2 linked regions of the Bombyx mori genome follow. The protein of the gene in region 2 binds, or shares a complex with, the protein of the main gene of each other region. Links are inferred from orthologs where the notes say so. Each region holds a gene or a part of one and is shown on either strand. Other genes may lie near its edges. The genes, in order: polyribonucleotide nucleotidyltransferase 1, mitochondrial; ATP-dependent RNA helicase SUV3 homolog, mitochondrial.

What was found.
Region 1: ATP-dependent RNA helicase SUV3 homolog, mitochondrial (region 2) and polyribonucleotide nucleotidyltransferase 1, mitochondrial share a complex: the UniProt entries of both Homo sapiens proteins name them as parts of the mitochondrial degradosome (mtEXO) complex. The link is inferred for Bombyx mori from reciprocal best matches to the Homo sapiens genes SUPV3L1 and PNPT1.

The regions. Positions count from the first base shown.
Region 1 is NC_085131.1:2,170,002-2,174,613, forward strand, and holds the start of polyribonucleotide nucleotidyltransferase 1, mitochondrial, read right to left. Parts: upstream 2,933-4,612; 5' UTR 2,699-2,932; coding exon 2,583-2,698; intron 2,369-2,582; coding exon 2,163-2,368; intron 1,609-2,162; coding exon 1,398-1,608; intron 1,271-1,397; coding exon 1,104-1,270; intron 223-1,103; coding exon 66-222; intron 1-65. UniProt on the Homo sapiens protein: RNA-binding protein implicated in numerous RNA metabolic processes. Catalyzes the phosphorolysis of single-stranded polyribonucleotides processively in the 3'-to-5' direction. Mitochondrial intermembrane factor with RNA-processing exoribonulease activity.
Region 2 is NC_085119.1:5,380,217-5,384,046, forward strand, and holds part of ATP-dependent RNA helicase SUV3 homolog, mitochondrial, read left to right. Parts: intron 1-176; coding exon 177-283; intron 284-1,829; coding exon 1,830-2,023; intron 2,024-2,829; exon of another isoform or gene 2,830-2,975; coding exon 2,976-3,155; intron 3,156-3,353; exon of another isoform or gene 3,354-3,453; intron 3,454-3,830. UniProt on the Homo sapiens protein: Major helicase player in mitochondrial RNA metabolism. Component of the mitochondrial degradosome (mtEXO) complex, that degrades 3' overhang double-stranded RNA with a 3'-to-5' directionality in an ATP-dependent manner.

The sequences.
Region 1 (4,612 bases), on a different chromosome or scaffold from region 2:
TACCTCATAAATATAATCATAATACTTCAAAAATAATTAGGCCTAATTAATTTAAAACAATATACCTCAATATTTCTCTGATTTTCATAGAAGATAATATTTTGATAGTATCAACAATGTTTTGTTCTAGAGGTGGTTGAATTTCATATTCTCTTTTCATTTTACCATGATCCTTCTGCAGTTTCTCTATCCCTCTCACAATTTGTTGAGCTTCTTTGGTTCCTGAAAGAGATAGAAATAAAACTTTGGTTCAGAGCATTTTTGTTGTGTCCACTGTCAATGTGTGTTGTGTAAATCTTTTCTTCTCAGAATCATTCAATGACTGTAATTACATATTCTATAGTATCTATAGTGCCAAACTAAATAATAAGTTCATTAGATACATAATGAAATTAGTATGACAAGGGACAAGCCTTTTTGTGATAGTAATAACAGTATACATTTCTACTTATAATAGCCTACTAGTATATCAGAGGAAGTGTGAAAGTAGCCCCGGTAATTAAAAATTAAAGAGCGGATGGTTAGTGTGGTATGGACATGTGATGCATAGAGAGAAGATGCAAAGAAATAGTAGTGCAAGACAGAGGAGGAAGAGGTTGACCGAAGAAGACATGGATGGAGTGTGTGAATGACGATATGAAAGAGAGAGAGAGAGAGAGAAGCGAGTATTGAGATTACGATTAATAGAAGAGAATGGAAGAGAAAAATTTGCTGTACCGACCCCACCCAGTGGGATAATATGGAGAAAAAAAGAAGACTACATAGCCTACTTCTGCTTCGTAACAATAATGCATTCCAAGTTGAAGGTAGTAAAGCCATTATACTATACAATTACTGTCCCAGAGTGGTGACATTCACATAGTGATATCTATAAGCTCTGTTAACAACAGCCTTCAGATGAGCCATAAAATAAAAACAGCAAGTTTATAGCAGCTTGATTTTATCAAACGGTATTACTATATTGAAAAATATTTTAATAATTTGTGATTGACGACAATCTTAGAAAATATATAGCAAAGTTACGTTTTTATTTATATACGGGTTTATATTCTGATTCTATTTATAGAAAATATTCTGATTAAAAAATCAACTTACATTCATACCTAATTTGATGGCCTTGAGTAGATCCTGCTGTAGGATGTCGGAGGCGCTACCTTCCAGCATCACTACTAGATTACTGCTGGTAGCTGTCACGATTAAGTTCAAAACAGACTTCTCCAATTCTTTACGTGTTGGATTTATTATTAATTCATTGTCAATTTGACCTAATCTGAAAGAAGAATTATGAGCTGGATACAGATATATAGATTACACAAAACTCTTGGTAATTTAAAATTTATTTAAAGTTTAATGAAAAGCTAATTTAATATTTGTGTAAGCTATGAAAATTGTAATACCGAACAGCACCAACAGGGCCATTCCACGGCACATCGGAAAGTGCAAGTGCTGCACTTGCCGCATTTATAGCTACTGTTTCAGGCAAATTCGTTCCATCCATCGCCAACATGTTGCATACTATCTGTGTATCATAGTTGTAGTTATTCGGGAAGAGCGGACGTAGGGAACGATCTATTACTCGTGAAGTAAGAATTTCTTTTTCTGATGGACCTGTTAAAATAAATTTGTCTTGGTATTATCTAGTTTTTCTTTGTAACTACTGCTTATGCAAAGTGTTTAGTTAAAATAAAATCTATCCATTTTTGACATGCTTTTGTATGCATGTATATTTGCTGGTATTTGATCATCATTTTTAACAACTTCAAGAGGTCCATTTAACTGGAAAATTTGGACACATCAAAAACAATAATTTTACAACTTCCCTATGCTGACTAGCATCAACAGAATAAAAAAAGATGAACTTGATTATTAGTTCAGATTGCTGTTTGGCATATTTTGTCAGTTTTTGCAGCAATGCTGTCTAGACATTAATAGCAGTATTAAACTTTGAAAAATGAAACTGAATTCTCAATTACAATTATTATACAATGGCTCTCATATATTATATTTTATATCCAATGAATGCAATTTATACAGGATCAGTTATGAAAATATTGGTTATGCAGTAGATAGAGCCCATTTTATTTGACTTCAGTGTATTAAAATGAATTGACTGACAAATCTGTTGGCTTAAATGTTTGACGACTGATTGTTACATGTCTTACCCAGTTCTCTCCTAAAAAAATTGGTAGGAATTCGTCCTGCGGCTGCGGCTTTTTGTCTGTAGTCAACTGTGAGTGGTAAGAACGAAGTGGGATTTTGTTTAGCTTTTGACACAACAGTTGATAGCACGCTTGTGTTACCGAGGGACACAACACATGCTCCATCTGCGAATCTTGCGTAACGGCCCGTGGACAATTTCAGGGTGGTCCTGAAAATTATTGGAATTAATTTTAAAACTTTTAAATTTTTTATATCGATTTTATAAAATTAGTATTTTATTGCTATTTTTTATTTATATCAAAGTTATATAAATTATTGAGTTTACTGTATATTCTAAAAGGAATGGTAGATTTGTAATTGTTATATATTTTTATTGATATGTACCGATATATAACCTTAAATATTCTAACCTCGAAACTTACCCGTTAGTAAAAGGAATATCAATTACGCCAAGTTTGGCTTGTGATGAGAGAAATCTACAGTAATACCGACTTTTCGTCTTCAATTTTGTTAATAATATACATTTTTTATGTAACATTTTCTTGTGTATATGATCTTGAGAGTCAAAAAGGACACCCGTTATGATATTAGAAGTACTATAGAATTTATGGTTTTAGTTAAAAAATAATCTTAATGATTTGTTTACTTTTCATAATAATATCTATATTATAAGTTCGCCAATTAACGAAAGTCACTAAAAATAAGTTTAAATTAGACAATATCAAGCAAAAACTTTGACTGATGTTGTTTGACTGAATGTTGATAATTTTCTTTGACAGTTGACAGTCTTGAAACTATAGACCTTTAATTCTTCTTCTTCTTCGTCGCTTTCTTCATTGCTGAAGGTCGTGTCCCTGAAACTTGACCGTTGCCTGTCTCGTGAGCTGTTTCCATCTCGTCCGGTCCTCAGCTGCTCGAATGGCGGTTGCGACTGGCAACCCAGTTAGAGCGGTTACTTGATCACACCAACGGCTAGGTAATCGGCCGCGGGGTCTCTTTCCTTCTACTTTGCCCGTCACAATCACTTTGTCCAAGTTATCTGACTGTCGGCGGGCAATATGACCGAAGTAGCTGAGGATCCTCTGGTAACAGATTGTTGAGAGCCTGACTCGGATGCGAAGCTGATCCAGGATAGATTTATTTGTCCTCTTGGCCGTCCACGGAATTCGGAGCATTCGTCTCCAGCACCACATTTCAAATGCATTTATTTTCTTGCGCTCGGATGCCTTAATTGTCCAGGACTCTGCCCCGTAGAGAAAGATTGAGAAAACTAAGGTTCGGACGAGTCTCATTTTCGTGACGTTAGAGACTTTGCGATTTTGCCATATTCGTTTGAGCTTGGTCATCGCTGTTTTGGCCATCTGCGTCCTCCTCCTTATCTCTCCCTCACTGCCTCCGCGGTCGGTCAGTAAGGACCCGAGGTATATGAACTCGCTGACGAATTCTAGATCTGATAGCTCTCCAGTTCTTGAGAGTTGACTGGTTCTGTCCACTATCATGACCTTTGTTTTGGACTTATTAACGGAGAGCCCCACCAAACTACTCTCATACTCCACTCTACGGAATAGGTCAGCAAGCTCCTTCTCAGATGACGCGAAAAGACCTTTAATACTTCAGTGCTTGAAACACATTTTGACCTGGAGTCTGGACGAACAGATTAAACAGTTTTAAGGATATTTATTAGTTAAAGGTATAATCGCATTGGATATAAAATAAAATTCGCCAAGCATTTGACGCGTTAATGCGGGTCAACAAATTTTAAAATTCTTGGGACTTATTTTCAAGTTTAAAAAAACCTTCTTTTCTGTACATTACAAATACTTGACACTTAATATTTAAAGCTAAAGCATAATAGAATCAATCTTAAAGTTAAACAATCAAACAATAAGTCACAATATTCAGAATCAAATCATCTCTGATGATCTTTGCAAGCATTATCTTTTCTTATTTTGGAATATCAGTACTCGTTAATAAACTCAATAGGTTATAATAGCTACATCAAACACAAGCCCAAGTAAAATCAATGCTTCGGTGAATCTCAAAGGGATCGAAATCGCGACCTACTGAGAAGATCCAGTAAAAAACTCAGTAGGCTCTGTCCGTGGGTTAAGTTGCATGATGACTCCTTTGTCGCGGTCGACAGGTTTGACAAGAATTGTGACCGATGCGATGCTTGGAATAAAACTGGTGAAAAGCACTGAGAGGGCGACGCGACGGCTTCTGTTTAACGTTTGTCCTGTTCTTAATAAGCATTGCGTTACGAATAATTCCATCTTTAGACAATTGTTGTCGCTTCCAATTGCATTTGAGAGTAGTTGAATATAAGATATTTGGTAATAAAATTATTTTGCGTAATTACTTTTTTTTACCTACCATTTAAGTTTTGATCTGGACCTTTTAGTTCTGAACAGATTTTTTGATAAAAATGAAATTCGAATTTTTTTTTTTATTA
Region 2 (3,830 bases):
TTTTAAATGTAGTGACGCATATATAATCATCATCATCATCATTATGATTTTGCAATCGTATTCGTGACTGAAATGAAAGAAACAAAAGAAGAATGTGTAGATTTTGAATAACAAACATTTTCTTTAAATATACATATGTATATGTATATTATTGTGTAAACATCTTTATTTTACAGGAGCATCCGGCGGATAATCTTTTACTCATTAATCAAACCGGTAATTAATGAAGACGGTGAGAAAGAGATGGACGTTATTAGTATATCACAAGCGTTGCAGATTGCAGGTGAGTAGTACTGCCAAGAAATATTATGGAATCTGCTTATTTAATTTTCGGTTTGACCCAATTGTTATGTTATCTTCGTTTTAAACCTGTTAAAACTGTTATAAAATATAACAATAACAATTTCAATGCGGTTGATGTGATTTTCTAAAATTCATTTTATAATTTTGTCGTATTCAATGAAGTTTCTCGTTCCGAACATGTATTTGCTGCACTGTACAAACAGATAGGAATACAAAATCACGTATATAATTATTATTTTCCTACCTATGCTGATAGCCTTGAGAGGCTATTTCAGCTTCTTGACGTGTATGTAAGCTCACGGGGCTCAAACCAGAGTGTTGTTAACACTGGCCCTAGCAAGAGCAGTGCTTCGCAGAATCCGCACTGGTGGTAGGACCTCTTGTGAGTCCGCACGGGTAGGTACCACCACCCTGCCTATTTCTGCAGTAATGCGTTTCGGTTTGAAGGGCGGGGTAGCCGTTGTAACTATACTGAGACCTTAGAACTTATATCTCAAGGTGGGTGGCGGATTTACATTGTAGATGTGTATGGGCTTCAGTAACCACTAAACACCAGGTGGGCTGTGAGATCGTCCACCCATCTAAGCAATAAAAAAAAATCTACCACCGGATCGGTAACGCGACCCCCTGAGAACATCCGGCGAGAAACTCAGTGGGCTGTGTCTATGGGTTAATTTACTCGTCAAGCCCTTCGTCGCAAGCGATGGGTTCGGCGAGGACAATGCCTGAGGTACCTAAAATCACCGATAATGGATCGGGAGGATCCGTAATGACGTGCTTAGGACCGTATATAAATAAGTAAATATATACGCTACTAGCTGTACCCGTCCGCTTCGCTGGGCATTTAAAATTTACATTATTATTTCTCACCCCACAAAGATTCTCATCATTAACGCCCCTGCAACTGGTGTAGGGAGTCCAACACTCATATAAATATTAGCCTATCCATTAAGTACATGTATTTTCTACATGGATACCAAGTTTCAAGTCAATCGGATGCACGGCTCAGTAGTTATAACGGAACATCCGTAAAAACCACTGTAGATTTATATATTAGTACTAGCGGCCCACTCCGGCTCCGCTCGGGTCTTTATCAAAAATTTCAACCATACTTGACGTTATTTTATTTTTTTAAATAAAAGAACACTTATTGCAGCATAACTATAATAGTTAGACATATTATGCTGTCGCGACACTTTTTGTACTTAATAATGTGTTCTACAAAATAGTAGTACATTATTTTATTCTATCATCAATAGTTTTCGCACGGCACGCGATGTAAATAGTATTTTAGGTAATTTTTTTACACCTTGGGTTACATTATTGGAGTTTTAGTAAGGATCCCTAATTTTTTTCAAAAAAGATTATAGCCTATGTCACTCGGGAATAGTGTAGCTTTCAAACAGTGAAAGAATTTTTTAAATCGGTTGAGTAGTTTCGGAGTCTATTCAATACAAACAAACAAAACTTTCTTCTTTATAATATTAGTATAGATAGATTGGAGTTCACGTGTTGTTGTTCGGCAGGTCGGGCCGGTCGTTACGGCAGCGCGTGGGAGACCGGCCACGTGACCTCGTACCGGCCCGAAGACCTCGCGACGCTGAAGACGCTGCTGTCCCAGCCGCCCGAGCCGGTCACGCAGGCCGGCCTGCACCCCACCTCCGAGCAGATGGAGCTGTACGCCTACCATCTGCCCCACGCCACTCTCAGCAGTCTCATGGTGAATGCTTTTTTCTATCAATATTAAAGTTACATTAAACTTACTTAAAATTTTACTGGTGGTAGGACCTCTTGTGAGTTCGCACGGGTAGGTGCCACCACCCTGCCTATTTCTGCCGTGAAACATTAATGCGTTTAGGTTTGAAGAGTGGAGCAGCCGTTGTAACTATACCAAGACCTTAGAACTTATATCTCAAGGTGGGTGGCGCATTTACGTTGTAGATGTCTTTGGGCTCCAGTAACCACTTAACACCAGGTGCACTGTAAGCTCCTCCCACTCCACTCATCTAAGCAATAAAAAAAAACTTATTAAAACGCGCATACCACATTTTTGTTACTATAACTAGTGGTCCCCCGGTTGTCGAAATTCGACTATAATTAATTGAAATTATAAGTTTGTATACTATTATGATTCTATTGTCAACGAATTGTTGATTATTTGTATAATAACAGATTTCGTTAAGACTACACTTTAGACAAATATTAATAAAGACAAACAATATTTAATATTTTTTAAGGGATTTTATGACCTAGTAATTTATATTCTTATTTTTATGAAAAATGATAGTATGGAGTGAAATGAAATGAAGATGATTAATTTGAAACATTTATCAACTGGGATGAAATTAAATGAAATAAGATGAAATATAATCTCAGTAAAATGGTGGTGATTTACGGAGATTTTTTCAGTGGACTTATTTCATTTTCCCACACTTGTACACTTTCGCAGATATTAAACAGTTAATAAACCACCGTTATCACACATTTAAACCTGAAGAAACACTAAATAGACAAAATAAACAAATCACACAACTTTACTATTATTATTATTATTATTAATATACAGGGTGTGACATAATCATTCTAGAACAGAATTTGAATTCGTTCAGTTTTCACATAAATATGCGATTGACAATGCCCGACACGATTACCGATACCTCTGAATGTTTCAGGACATATTCGTTCACTTGTGCACGGTCGACGATTCGCTTTACTTCATGTGCAACACGGAGGGGTTCAAGTTCTTAGCGGAGATGATACAGCACGTTCCGTTGCCGCTGCGGGCGCGCTACGTGTTCTGTTGCGCGCCCATCAATAACAAGCTACCGTTCGTTTGTGCTACCTTCCTGAAAGTGAGTATGTTCAAGTTCAATATATTTAAAAAACTAGCTGACCCCGTAGACTTCGTAGTGCCTCAATCGATAAATAAAATACCTAAACTTTTGTAGAAAATAAACTTAAAGCAAACAATATGTCCGACAAGGTACACATCAAAGGAAAAACAAAATTGTTTGTTTTTATATAATTCCGAGCTTTTTATATTTTCTCACCTTTTAAACCTTCCTTGGACTTTCACGAATAATTCAAGACTAAAATTAGCCAAATCGGTCCAGCCGTTCTCGAGTTTTAGCGAGACTAACGAACAGCAATTAATTTTTATATATATAAAAGATAAGATAAGATAAGATATAAGATAAATAAAAACATGTGTCGCCCTCGGGGAAAAGCTGTGTCGCGGTAAAGATATTGCATAGCATTTTTTTATCAACTTATGCAATTATAATTGGACCATAATAATTGAATATTAAAACAATAATAAAATTGACCTCATACAACGCGAGACCTCATACAACGCGAGACCTCATACAACGCGTGACATCATACAACGCGAGACCTCTTACAACGCGAGACCTCATACAAAGCGGGACCTCATACAATGCGAGACCTCATACAACGCGGGACCTCATACAACGCGAGACCTCATACAACGCGATAGCTCATAGCGTCTGTCTGTCTGTTCCAGCTAA